Rhinolophus ferrumequinum: one gene and its partner. The protein of the gene in region 1 interacts with the protein of each later gene in a pairwise test. Links are inferred from orthologs where the notes say so. Each region holds a gene or a part of one and is shown in the gene's direction. Other genes may lie near its edges.

The links.
Region 2: the proteins of ESRRG (region 1) and NR0B1 interact in binary tests that used the Homo sapiens proteins (3 or more experiments, as listed by UniProt). The link is inferred for Rhinolophus ferrumequinum from reciprocal best matches to the Homo sapiens genes ESRRG and NR0B1.

Annotation. Positions count from the first base shown.
Region 1 is NC_046310.1:8,615,121-8,622,345, reverse strand, and holds the start of ESRRG (estrogen-related receptor gamma), read left to right. Parts: upstream 1-4,212; 5' UTR 4,213-4,385; coding exon 4,386-4,441; exon of another isoform or gene 4,442-4,445; intron 4,446-7,225. UniProt on the Homo sapiens protein: Orphan receptor that acts as a transcription activator in the absence of bound ligand. Binds specifically to an estrogen response element and activates reporter genes controlled by estrogen response elements.
Region 2 is NC_046284.1:102,306,126-102,313,658, forward strand, and holds the start of NR0B1 (nuclear receptor subfamily 0 group B member 1), read left to right. Parts: upstream 1-4,512; coding exon 4,513-5,692; intron 5,693-7,533. UniProt on the Homo sapiens protein: Nuclear receptor that lacks a DNA-binding domain and acts as a corepressor that inhibits the transcriptional activity of other nuclear receptors through heterodimeric interactions.

The DNA of each region.
Region 1 (7,225 bases):
TTAAATATCAAAGCCTGTGCCCTAGAAATGAAAAGCAACAGAAAATGAGGTATGATGAATTGATAGAGGTTTGGTGGAAATATAGAGTAAAGTAGGCATACGGACGTCGCAAGACGGCTTCGTGATCTCAGTGGGAAAAGTATGTTAAGCAGGTTTCCAGCATAAAAGAAATCCCAAGGCCCAGAGGAGGAAACTAGAGACAGATCAGTGAGGTGACCTGCTCAAGGCCACACAACTCATGACGGGGCAGAAGGGAGTTTGGGCTTCAGGCTTCCTGCTTGTCCTCTAAGCATTTTTTTCCAGGGATCCTCATTGTGTGTTTTCTTTTGGTGTTAAAGTTAGGAGTTTATAAGAGTCTTGGTTTGCTTTCTGTAGCATTGGTATGTTACATAACGTGCGCTATATGAAAGACAGCAGGAAAGAGCGTTCAAAAAGCCAAACAGCTTTTCAAAGGTTTTATGATCTGGGGGAAAGATCTGCAGAGGTAGATTACGAGGCAATTCGAAAAAAATCTATAAATTTGCGATGCCTCGTTGGGTTTTAAATATTTAACAAATGGCACCTGTGCAATACAAAAATCAAAATTTGCTTCCAACATTAGGGCAGTGACTATATGCATGTTAATTCAGGTTAGTCCTGTTAATTTTCAGAAAAGGAAAGTGGGACCTAGAAATAGCTGTTAATATGCAGTAATGATAGCAAGACTGAAGCGGTCTCATCACCTTTTAGCAACAGAAGTATGCATTAGTAGAATGTTTTAGGAAATGATGCTGATTAAAATACAGTAAAAATTCTGCTATAGACACCAGGGATCTATCTACCTTTTGTTTCCACTTCAGTTTTGTTTATTGCCATTCCTTGTTTCAAATGGAAACGAAATACATTTTCTGCCTGGTGTCCCTGTGTCACTTGGCGCCTAAGAATGCGGTTGTTTGGATTGTGGGACTATATTGTTTGAAGAACATGTTGACACTATGATTGGACACTGGGCATGATGCATAATAGACTGATATTAACTAATTTATTAATATTCTTTGTGAAACAATCCGAAGAGGTCCTTTTGTTTGGTCCCATGTATCCTGCTTTGGGTAGACTCCTTGTGGTAAGATTGTGAAGTGTTAGCAAAATGTGTTATTCTAGGCTGTTATCTATTTGTTTCATTTCCCGCCCCCAAATCCTTGAAGTTGTGACTCTTAACGGTTTATGCCCAGTATTGCTCGTGCTGTGTATATTTCCTGTGATTATCCGCTCTTTCCTCTTTCAAGATGAGAAAACTCTATCACTCGGGAAGATTCTTGAACTGACTAAGCTATGTGTTTAGAAAATATTCTGGAGGCTATCTCACAAGTTTAGGGCCATAGAGATCATTTTAAATTTTAAATTGGTTAAACTGGATTCAAGACAGTAGGTGTAATCTTAGGTCCTGGACTTGTAGAGGTGACATATTAATCCCAAGGGGAAAACAGAGAGCTCTGAAAACCTAGTGCACTTCTGGTCATTCGGAAAGCAGCTAGCTTAGTGGACACTGCACCTTGCATAGATGAAATATGGTTCCTGAGAGATCAATGGGGACTAAACTGGGGACGCTTGTACATGGATCTCTGTGAGCACAGAAAAAAGACGTACACATGAATATGAGTCTAACCATGTTAAAAATCTATATATACTAACAAAATCAAATGGTTCATAATGGGTCAAATAAGTACCTAAAGGGCATAAGAAAATTCTGGGAAATAAAAGATAACTCCTGTGAAATGTGGTGACTTAAGGTCCATCGGTAAATAATTGACGACAAATCTTGTCTTTAAAAAGCCATTTCGACGGAGGAATAAACAGGTTCTGTCACAGCATGATAATGCAAAGAAACTGACGGCAGTACAGGATTCTGCACAGGTGCAGAATCTGAATGCGTCGATCCATTAAATAATTTATTATTATTATTTTTAAGTAGGTCTCTGGATAAAGTAAGAAGAAAACTTTTTTTTTTGTAAATCTTTTAAAAATATGTAACAATTGGATCCATTCAGTACCCAGAAGATTTCAGTTTATTCAGAAGTCAAGATAGTAATCTGAATCAAAGATATTTTTTAAGCTGTCTTTATAATGCAGTATTAGCTTCCATATTTCTTTTATTGTATTTCAGAAAAATCATGTTTCTTTTTCAAATGCCTTTTCATTTATTTTTTAATTACAAAGTGATTCCATGTCTCATTTTAGATTGAATAGGCAAATCTTCCCCCACTCCTTGGTATCTGCAGAATGCTTGGATATTCTACATCTCAAAGCTCTTTTAATTCACTACTCACAACCAAATTTACATCTTAATTGCAGAGTTCACATTTAACAATATAGACAGCATAATGCTACTAGTAATTAAGCTTTTACTACCTGCTTTTATACAGTATTTTCAGGCACAGTTTTTGCTATGTGAGTTCCCCTCTAGAAACTTGTATGTATTTAAACCACAAATAAAAGGAATCAGGCCTGTATCTTAGCTCTGACTAAATACATGGTAGAAAAATTGCTTTTTTTCAGTGGGGGGACCAAATGATGCCTGTCGTTTTTATATTCTGCATTTTAATGTGGTTGTTCTATTTTTGTATTGTGTTTTGTTTTGTTTTTTGAAGACCTAGAAAATTTGAGAGCATTGAGAAAAAGAATCAAGTTCTGATTTAGTGAATTTAACACACGCTGACTATCTGAATTAATTTATTTTAATTTCAAAGATTATACTATTTATGTCATGTAAGACATTTGATACAAAAGGTTGGTAAGCAGTAGCACTGCATTATATCAAAATTGTGAGACTTCCACTCTCCATACGGTAGCAGTCATCTCTTTGCCATAAATAGGTGGTATTTATTCCAAGTACATTTGCTAGTCTAAAAAATCCTGTATTTTAAAATAGCACCTAACAAAACTCTTTGTCACGTGGAAACTGAAAACACGCTATATACTATTGGAGGAAAAAACACCCTCCTCTTCTTATATTCTCTGAAAAAGATACTTTTTATTGAGAATTCTTATTTTTGTAAATTATTATGTTTGAAGCTAGTCCTTATAATGATCAGACTGTGTGATGATTTCCAAAATATTTCTGAGCTGATTTTTTTTAAAGTATTCAGGGTGTATTATGTATAGGAACAAATATGTAAACAGCCTTTTATTAGAAAGCTGATCTTTTGGGTAAAATCATATATATTTGTATATGTCTCCTAGTTTGGAAGCTTGTATTGAAATAAGTATATGACTGAGAACACTTGGAGTGCACTATTTTGTGATGCTCTCCCTACCATAAAAAATAAAAAATAAAAAATGCAGCCTTTATTTTGTCAAAATGCTCTGAGATGGATTTTAGGTACCATTTACACTACAGTTCTCAGTCTCCCATCCCTGAAAGTGGAAAAGCCAATTTGTCCTGCAGTTTTGAAAAGCTATGCATCGTATATCTATAGGTAGGGAGACAGCAGCAGGTAAAGAAATGTTTACACAGATAATTTAAATAGGCATCCTCTCAAAATTGTCTCCAGGCACTATTTCCCCACTCTGTACTTGTGAAAAACTGAATTCCTCCTCAAAGATGAGATCTCCATTCACCTGCCCCAACAATTGAGAAGAATATCTTTGATTCTTTAAACTGCCCCGTCTACATCAGGAAAACAGGAAAAGACACGATGACGAATGCACGAGAAAGTACAGCGCTCAATAAGCCGCAGCCCCCAGTGGAGTAGGACACACACAACCGCAGGACAAACTTCATTCTCTACCTTCCCGCAGAATCCTTTCCCAAATTAACTGAGAGTCTGCGTGAGTTCTTCTTTGCAAGGCAAAACGGATCTTACGTAGGAGAGAAACCCAATGCCTCCAGTGCTTAGAGAGTTAAGTTAGTTATGTTTCTTTGGCAGCTTCCCAGGAAAAAAAAAAAAGAGAGAGAGAGAAAGAAAAAAAGAAGAAAGGAAAGGAAAGGAAAAAGAAAAGAGAGGAAAGCAGAAGCCCAGGATCCACAGACTGCGTTTCTATCCCTGGTCTTGGCTCTCTGTTTCTCTCCCACTCTGTTTTCACCCCTTGCTTGTCTGCACCCGTCCTACCTGCCTGGCTGCGTTGCTCGGTGCAGCCTCCCGTGGCCTCCCTCCTGATTGGGCAGACGCCCCCCAATCGGCTGCGCGGCTGGGCCAGTGGGACTGCATATGTAAAGCCCTACTTCATATTAATAAGCTCCAATCGGGGCTTTAAGTCCTTGATTAGGAGAGTGTGAGAGCTTTGGTCCCAACTGGCCGTGCCTATAGGCTTGTCACTAGGAGAACATTTGTGTTAATTGCACTGTGCTCTGTCAAGGAAACTTTGATTTATAGCTGGGGTGCACACATAATGGTTGCCGGTCGCACATGGATTCGGTAGAACTTTGCCTCCCTGAATCTTTTTCCCTGCACTACGAGGAAGAGTAGGTACCTTTTTCTTTCCTTTTTAAAACTCGGCGTGGGGGTGCGTGTGTCTCAGTGTGTGTGTGTGTGTGTGTGTGTGTGTGTGTGTGTGTGTGTGTGTGGAGGGGGGTGGACAGAATGTCTCTTTGCACACTGATTCAGGTAATGCCCTGGGTGTTTTGTGTGCACTGTGCTTGTTTGCGTCTGTCTGGTGCCTTTTGTGTGGAGCGTGATCTCCTAATTCAGTAAGTCGAGAATTGTTCTGACTACAATATTACCTTTGAGGCGAAGCTCAGTGACTGTCCGTAAAACAGCTGTGTGACAGTCACTTCTTATTCAGGTGCTAAGAATAGGCACTTGGCACAAATGCTTAGTGAACTGTTAAAATGCATCTTTTCCTAGGACCCATTTTCCCAAGGAAAGATGTTTTAAAATACAATATTCAAAATGATTTATACTATGGAGCGCTTCTTATGGATGTGCAGTTTGACAGATATTTTCAGCGCCCTGTCATTTCTTAACCCGGCAGAGTTAGAGGCAAAATTGCACATTTACTAATTCTCCTTCAGAAAACAATTTAAAAACTAGCCCTTTGCAGTTCAGGGCTAGAATAATGTTATTTGCATGGTTAGCGTTAAGTCAGCACTTAACTGACAAATCAGTCCATTAAGTAACATGAGATTTTCACACATTATTAATATTTAAGGGAGAAAAAAAGCCCTAAAGAAACAGTAGTGACTTTTAAAATTTCCCCTTGAAGAGACTCTGTTGAGATTGTGAATTTGTTTCGTGATTCATGTCCAGAAAATATAGAAAAGTAGTTTTGTTCTTACATGCAGTTTAATTTGTATTTATGAACATCTTTATGCCCATGGATCTATATATTTGGATTAGTAAAGGTGGGGTAGATAGGGGGTTAGGTGAAGTAAATTAGGCATTCCTGTATAAATGAGTAGGTCATAAACTTAATTTCAACCCACTGTTAAGATAAAATATTAGTATGTCACTGGAGCTGTCACTGGTCCATCTTTCTGTTGAGTCAGTTATATTGCTTTGCTTTCAGATTACATTAATATCAACTGTTATAATAATTCTGAAAAGAGTGCTCTTGGCAAACATTTCTCTCTATAGATTGTGGAGAAAATATAAAACTGTAGAAGATGAGGCAGTGCATTATAGGGAAATGTCCACTAGCTGTCCTTAGTGATTGCATATTGCACTGCTTTGTAATTAAGTAAGAGATGAAAGTGACTTGCAGCCTGAGTGGCTGTGTGTGTGTGTGTGTGTACACACACACAGACTCATATACACACTCATGCAGAGGATATTAGCCAAGAGGTAGACTTAGGAAGAGCTGAAAGGTTGGAAGGCTGTGCTTCCATCAGTTGGAAACACTCGAGAAACAAGCTTAAACTGTGTGAAAATAAAAATGAAAAATAAACAAAAGTAGGACTGCGCACTCCAATGTAGGGTGAAGGTTAGAGGACTGGGGACTGGAGAATTGGAGAGTTTAAAATGTCTTCATGTCAGGAAGAACACATTATCCGAACTCACCCAGGTTCTGAACTTTTCTCTCTTAAATAAAGAAATAAAAGAAACTTTAAAAATCCCCTAGAGGCGTCTTTTTAAAGTAGTTTCCTTGAATTTAACTTTTATAGCTAATTTGAATAATTGGTTTAGATAAGCCTCTTAAAGCAGATGCATTTAAATGAAATCAGGGCACATGTCCTTTTGGCTTTGGCGCAAGATTCAAACTAGCTTTCTTTTGGGCTCCATTAAAAGTCATCTTTAAAAAAAATACAGATTTATTGTCTGGATGCAGTTCTGATGGTTACGTGGTTCACTGGACAGACAGAAAGATCTAATGCTAAGCAACACATCTGCCTCTCTGTCTCAATTAATAAACCCTAGAATTTATACATGCTATTAATATTCATAGTAATTGTACTGGGTTAAACCCCATCACGTGTGTGTATACATAGAAATGAAACCAGTTATGCAGTTTCACAGGAAAATATTGGACAATTTCTGCTTCGGAGGCGATTAAAAAAAGGTTCGTACAATTTATTGACCACCGTTAGAAGAGCCTAAAATGTTAACCTATAACTATGTATTTTTTTTTTTTTAATTTAGGAAATGGGCCAGCACATTAAAGAACATAATACTTGAAAGCTTGTTTCACATTTAATAGCAGTAATAACTGATAGCATAAATAGATGAAAATAATATATCTGCTCATTTTGACATACGTGTCAGTCTAATCATGCTAAATGAGTGTGCTCATCACATGAATCCCTTTCAACCTCTGATTAAAATGTAACATTGACTACAGGATTATAGAGCGGACTTAATTTTACTGACTGTTTTAACAGTTGTCACAGCTGTTGGAAGAAGGAAAGGCAATTGAAACACTCCAAAACAGGCAAGACGAGGAGGGAATAGTTCAGTAAATTTCAGCTTGATCACTGAAATCCAGACACTGACAATTAAACAAATTTGGGTTTTCAGAATGCTGTTTGGAGCTATGTAAGTTTTATTTTGCATGGTCCACTCTTTCTGTTTCAGGGTTTTGGTTATTTTTTTTTTTCTCTGCCTCATCTCTCCTTATTAGAAGCTGAAGTAAATTGAAATATAACTGTCCAAAAGTAATACTGTAATGTCAAAATCTATGGGATAAAAATAGACAGGAAGGAAAAATGTATACAGTAACAACAACAGAAAGCTTAAATCAGAGTGGATGCAATTTTTTTTTTTAAAGATAAGAGCTTGCCTAAGCCACTATAGGTGTGATATTATTTGAGAAC
Region 2 (7,533 bases), on another chromosome or scaffold:
TTTCAGATAGTTGTGCCTTCCCAGGTCAAGAGCAGCTTGCTGTGCAAAGATCAGTTTTATAATTTTACCTGGCTTTTTCCCCACCTGTACTCCACTCCTACATCCTTTAGTGAAAACTGCATTACTTTGAAGTTGAAGGTTTCATTCAGGCAGGGAGAGTAGCTTTACTCCCACCCTGAGTTGGAACAGATAATGGATTCTGCAGAGCAGGTGTCCAACTGACCAAGGTCATCGAATAATGATTCAGGGTAAATATCCCAATTGCAGTTGTGGACAAACTCAGCATGTGACAGGTGCAGTTGATGAGTACCCTCTGTCTAGCTGTCACAGTGGTCTGAGGACATGGAACAAATCAAATGAAGAAGCCTGCATCTGCCTTAGAAGGTTATGTCTTCACTAATCCTGTAGCCACTGGCAGGTTGGCATTACTTGGTGCAAATCTCTGCACTGGTGTGTTTAGATGATTTTGTTTCTCAGGAGCTATTTGTTCAGGGGAAAAAATGGAAAGTGGAAAGATGAAGTCAGTTTTCTGCTGAAATTTCCAAAGATGAATACTTGTGAAGAACAAGCAGGCAATCTCATTTTAGACACACTCAATCCAAAGAACCTAGAAAGTCCATCAGAGTTGCAAATAGAAGATTGCAACTTCAAAAAACAAAAGACAAAAAACCCCCACAAGAATAAAACATATCAGAAGACTGCTCCTGGGAAAGAACAGGAATTGTAACCAATATGTTACAAGTTCATGGTTCTCAACATTGTACTGAAGGTTCTATGTGAGATAATCCCTGAAAGGCAAAGTCATTTAATACGTGTGAGGTGTGAAGGATTAAACTCACACAAAAAAATGGGCTTAAGTTACTAGGTTTCTTTTGTGTTTGTTTTTAAATACAGTTGACAAGATGAGTTTTAGAAAAACCTTTGAATAATATAGGGATAGAGTACATATATTAAAATAGTTTATAGCATTTTTCTGCTTTCATAGCTGAAAAGGCTAATGTAAATTTTTTTAATTTTTATTTTTGACATTCAATATTATTTTATATTAGTTTCATGTGTACAGCATAATGGTTCGATATTCATATAATTTATGAAGTGATCCCCCCGATAAGTCTAGTACCCACTCGGTGTGAAAAGGTTAACGTAATATTGAACGTTTTGCTCAATGTTAAGTCATTAGAAAGTGAATCAGTGTAAACTTACGTTGCTTTATATTTTCAATGTAGTGAAGAGGTTAATAAAACGTTTCTGTGAAGGGCTATATTGAGAAAAAAAAAATAACCCTTGAAGGACTAAGAACAAAGTGAACAGATTCATACCGGTTGATAGAATTTTTCCCATTTCACAAGTGTGAAGGCTGAAGTTAAATGACTTGTTCAACATTATAAGAGTGAAAGAGCCCAAATTCACAGTCCTATCTTTTGACTATTCACTCAGTCCTCTTGTTACTTTACCACAGTGCCTGCAGCACTCTATCAAAAAAGGTCCCCACGAAGCTCTGAGTCCAACAGGGCCTTCGAACTTCTCCTTCTTCCAGAGTCACTTCAGTAATAGTTGTGTGGGAATGCTTGCCCTCTGTGTTGAGAGTAGGAGCTATAGCCTTCTCCTGTTTCTCTAAACATGTGGTCAGCCAACAGAAATATTCTTGAGCACCTACTGTATGCCAGACATTGTTCTAGTTGCTGGGATATAGAGTGACCGATTCCTTGCCCTCAGGGGATTTTTATACTAGTGGAGAGGGGAGACAATCAACCAGCATCAAATAACTAAACAAATCAATCATATCAGATTCGGATAAGTGTTAGGAGGAAAATAAAGTAGGGTAACATAGTATAAAGTAACTAGCACTGGCAACTTACGTTGGGACTGAGGCAGCCTGGGTTTTCAGCTAGGTTGTTTGGTGGCTTCATCAAGCAGGAAGACTGTAGAAATAGCAATAGCATACCCAAAATAGTAGCTTGAATATTGGAAATGGCAAATGATGAAATGGACAATGAGATAACATTTCCCTAATACATTATTGTGTGGACCAGGTAACCCATCCAGTGTTTTGAGTCTGGGCCAAGAAATGTGGACATGTAGAAGAAAATGAGACAGCTCCTGGGTGGAGGGTGAGGGTGGCTTTCCCTGGGAGAGAATAATGATGGTATAGTATCACTTCCTAACCCTGAAGTTATCCCACATTATCTTTTAAAAAAAGGGGATACTTATCATATACCAAGCAAACATTTTACATGAAGTAACTCATGTACATGGATTACTTCACAGAAACCACTCTTCATGTTTTACAAATAAGGAAACTGAGGTACAGGCGGCTTAAGTAACTTTCCTGTAAAGGGCTAAATAATGCCCCCCAATGATGTCCGTGTCCGAATCCTCAGAACCTGTGAATATGTTATCTTACATGGTAAAAGGGACTTTGCAAATGTGATTTAACAATTTTGAGATGGAGAGGTTATTCTAGATTATCTGGGTTTGCTCAGTGTAATTATAAAGACACTTATAAGAGTCAGAAAGGAGATGGAAGCAGAGTCGGAGTGATGTGGCCAGGAGCCAAGGAATGCAGGAAGCTTCTAGAAGGTGGAAAAGACAAGGAAATTGATTCTCCTCTAGCACTTCGAGAAGAAACGTCGCCTTGATTTTAGCCCAGTGAAACTGATATCAGAGTTTTGGCTTCCAGAACTGTAGCATAATCAATTTCTGTAGCCTTAAATCATTAAATTTGTGGTAATTTGTTACAGCAGCAACAGAAAACTAATACATTGCCCAAGGCCACGGAGCTACAAAGTGTCAGGGCCAGAATAAAAATTGAGGCAATCTGGTGCCAGTGCTAGAGATTTAGCCACTGTGCTATAGGGCTTCTCCCAGGTAGAACAAAATTTCAGGTTGAATGCAAAATAAATATTTTCTAGATTTTTCTCTTAAGCTTTGAATTTCTAGGTCCCAGAGAAACTGAAAAAAGAGAAAGGGGATCCTATGCCAGCTGATATACACCAGCCCCCACCCCTTCCCTGCTCCATGTCTTCAATCCTCGACCCAAGAGATCACTAAACAAACCTGCCATTCTAGAGATGAGGAATTTGAGGACTAAAGGGTTGTGATTTTGAAATTACCCAGCTGGTTGGTGAAACAATCAACTAGTTACACTAGGGGCAGGTGGTGGTGTGGGGAGACCCACTGATCTCAGTGCCTGTATGGAACTCAAGGAAGGAGGCTGTGTGACAAGTGAGAACCTAAGAATCTAGCTTTCCTGAAACCTGTGTTTCTCATTATTCAGTTAGGAAGGATGGAAAAAGAAATGTTGATTACACATCTACTCAGTGTAATATCTCTAGAAGAATCCAAAGTTCTCACTGTAGCAAGATTTAGCCCCTTGTGATTATTGTATTTCCCCATAGTAGCCACTTTGACATCCTGGTCGCTGCCCCTATTTCTCTAACACAGCACCTAAGACAGTGGGTGCTCATAAATATTAATAGAATTAAACAAAACACTTCTGTCATGCGGGGTCTCTGCTCCCGCTCCCCACATAAGAACACAGGATATGGTGAGGCCAAAAAGGAACACAAACGGAGCCATGGATAAGGGGTTCACACCACTATATTCTCGCTGGCGGCTGGGTTGGAGACACAGGAGGCAGGAGCCACACGATTCGCAATCCAGCGTCCACTTCTCTGCAACCCAACCAACCCAGCGTACCTATGGCAGTTATATCAGTGTCTAATGGCTAACCAGTAACAGCTGATGGCCAACTAGTCACAGCTGATGGCCATCTACTACCAGCGCCAGCACCTTTCCACGTGAGGCGGAGAGCCTGGAAACTGCTCTCTGGGACTCTGTCCCCACAGCTTTCGATTGCATGCTTAGACCAGTGCTTTTCCAAATTTAAGGTGAATGCAAATCCCCTGGGGACCAAGTTAAAAATGCAGATTCAGAGTCAGAAGGTCTGATTGGGGCCAGAGATTGGGCATTTCTACCAAGTTCCCATGATACTAATAGTGCTGGTCCATGGTCTATATTTTTCAAGGTCCCCAAAACTGAAACCTCCCTATCCATATACAAAATATAAGTCATAGAAAGTTTCATCATTCGGTGAAAGTTTCCAAAGATGGCATAGACATATATTTTTCCCGTTTTAGGCACCCCTGCCCTCCCAACAAAGGGAGCAAATGAGATGCCAGAGTTCAATGGAAAGAGTTGGAACAGTGCCGCAAGTACCTGTTCCCGGCTCTGCTTTGGTCTTCCAGAGGCAGGGAAGGGTGTGATGAGAGCAAACAGGAAAGTGTCCAGGAGTTCTCAGGCCTCCCTTCCTCTTCTAGTTCCAGCCTCTAAGTAGTGTCTGCCCCTTATGAACCGCTGAAGTCGCCGTCAAACACACGGGAGCGCAGCGCCGCGCCCCCCTCCGCGCCCTTGCCCAGGCGGAGACGGCCGACGCGCGTGCGTGCGCGCTCAGTATAAATAGCTCCCAGGCGGTTGCCACTGGACAGAGTCCGGCTGCGGACACCGCGGGCCATGGCGGGTGAGGACCACCAGTCGCAGGGCAGCATCCTCTACAACATACTCATGAGCGCGAAGCAAACGCACGCGGCTCCGGAAGCACCGGAGGCTCCCAAGGAGAGGCTGGGGGGCGCATGCTGGGGCTGCTCCTGCGGCGCGGAGCCCCCGGTGGGCAGAGAGGGGCTGCCGGGTGGGAGGGCAGTAGCGCTTCTATACCGCTGCTGCTGTTGTGGTGAAGACCACCCGCGGCAGGGCAGCATCCTCTACAACATCCTTACGAACGCAAAGCAAATGCAAGAGGCTCCGGAGGCGCCCGAGGCGCGGATGCGGGGCGCGTGCTGGGGCTGCTACTGCGGCGTGGAGCCCCCGGTGGGCAGAGAGGGGCTGCAGGACGGGCGAGCCACGGCGCTCCTGTACCGCTGCTGCTTTTGCGGTGAAGACCACCCACGGCAGGGCAGCATCCTCTACAGCTTGCTCACAAGCGCAAAGCAAACGCACGTGGCTCTGAAAGCGCCCGAGGCGCGTCCCGGAGGCGGGTGGTGGGACCGCTCCTACTGCGCGCAGAGGCTGGGGGGCAGCGAGGAGCTGCCAGGTAAGACGGCAGTGGCGCTCCTGTACCGCTGCTGCCTTTGCGGTGAAGACCACCCGCGGCAAGGCAGCATCCCGTTCAACGTGCCCACGAGCGCAAAACAAACGCACGCGGCTCCAGAGGTGCAGCCGGGGGCCCCCTGGTGGAACCCCTTGTGTAGCGCGCAGCGGCTGGTGGCCCTCAAGAATCCACAGGTGGTCTGCGAGGCGGCCTCCGCAGGCCTGTTGAAGACGCTGCGCTTCGTCAAGTACTTAGCCTGTTTCCAGGTGCTGCCCCTAGACCAGCAGCTGGTGCTGGTGCGCAGCTGCTGGGCTTCGCTGCTCATGCTCGAGCTGGCCCAGGACCGCATGAACTTTGAGACAGTGGAGACCTGGGAGCCCAGCCTGCTGCAAAAGATCCTCACCACCAGGCGGCGGGAGATCGCGGGCGACGAGCCGCTGCCTCTCCACACGCTGCCGCCAAACTTGGTACCGCCCATGGAGGGGCGGCATTTGCCGTGGGCCACCGAGGTCCAAGCCATCAAGAGCTTCCTTATCAAGTGCTGGAGCCTGGGGATCAGTACCAAGGAGTACGCCTACCTCAAGGGGACCGTGCTCTTTAACCCGGGTAAGGGCGCCGGCCTGGGGCTCTGGGTTTTCTCTGCTCAGTAGAGCGTTGGTCAGTGCCTACCTGGGGCACAGGGGCTGAACAGCTTTCAGTCGTCAGGGAGTGTCTGGGCAAACGTGAAGAATGGTGATTAACTCAGCATAGTTGGGGGAGCTTCAGAAACCAACCACATCGCGTGGGTAGGCTGCTGCCAGGAACTCAGCCTAGAGGAGGGGGATTTTTTTGTTGAGGTCTGTGCTTGTCTCTACAACTTTCTGTTACTACAGAAAAATTTGTGCCTTCAAGGGACATGGCTATTCCTTCTCTTCTAGTCTTTTAAGTCCACTAGCATAGCTTTAAAAAAACTTTGTGTTCACTGCAAGTTCTGCAACATCTCTTTCTGAATCCCAGTCCTGAAATTTACTAGAACTTCTTTGTTGGAAAAACTCTATTATAAAGACTGGCAAGAAAGGAAACATTTGTTAAGGACCCATAGAGAGACCATCCCCTGGGGACACTGTCAGGCAGGACACTGGACTTGGTGTTTCTGGATCTGCCTCTGAATGGTCATTTTTATGGTCCTAAGCAACTGGACTATTTTATCCTCCAAGTGTCTGTGATGTATCAGGCTAGCAAAGGGGCAGGAAAAAGACACACTAGGTACTTCGACCAGGAGCACTGTATTTTAGAGCTCAAAAAGTCCTTAGAGACCTCCTAATCAACCCCTCTGCCCTCCACCCCACTTGCAAATGATGTACCCTAGTCTCAAGTGACCTTACTCCAAAATAAATGGCCGATGAGTTATGGAGCATGGACCTCCTGTCTCCTGGGCCCAATGGGATGTCTGTTGGATGCTGGGCACTTTCCTCCACACAGGACAACCATATCATGGGAGAACATCTCCCTGGACAGTTCGGCACCTAGTCTTGAGTATGTCTTACTACTAGAGTCATCTTCAACCAGAATCCCACCACAAGGGTCACAGAGTGCTGGAAGTCTCCAGGCAGCTTGAATTGGGGTAGTTTTCATAATGTTCTCTCCATATCCTTTTTTCCTGACACCAGGAGTCTTTGGTTATGTCCTTGCCTCCTGCCTAGCATTTTTTTAAAGGGGTATAGAGCAGTAATTAGTGGGAAAATAATTCATTCAGAACTCACATTTCAGGATCTAGAGACCTCAGCTCATCCCAGCGATCACTGTAGGTCGTCACCTTTTGCTTATATCATTGTTGTCCAAATTTGCCTGTGCGTAAGAAACACTTTAGGGAAGCTTGTTTAAAGTCTCTCCAGGCTCCTTCCCTAGAGGTTCTGACTCAATAGCTCTGGTCCAGGGTCTGCAAATCTGCATTCATAATAAGTGCCTCATGTGGTCTTTAAGATAATTGAAAAACTGTTTTCTCCTTCAGTCAGTGTTATTAAACATCTACCATGTGCCTTGTTCTGTTGGAATACAAAGATAAGATGGGTTCAGCTTCCAGTTTACTTTCTACTAGTTACTACTTTCCCTCTTCTGCCTTGTTTTGCATACTTTTGTCACACACACACAGGCATGTACGCAAGCACGCACCTCCCTTATTCTTGGTTTACTTTCCCGAATCCTCCCAATATGAGTTTAGCCAGCTAAGCTGAGTGTGTTTTAAACACAAATGCACTATATGGGGGCTGGGGAGTAATATCTGTGTAGTGTGTATCCTTTCTTTGCTGTTTATCTGTTTCTATACCTTGATTTTTATGTTTAAACTTTTTTTTTTTTTTTTTTTTTTTTTACAATGGAGTCCATCTATTTGCCTTTTCTCTTTCATGAATCTGCTTTGAAGGCAAATCAGGGAGGGAGGTTGGAAAAGGAGGGTGTGGTATGAAAGC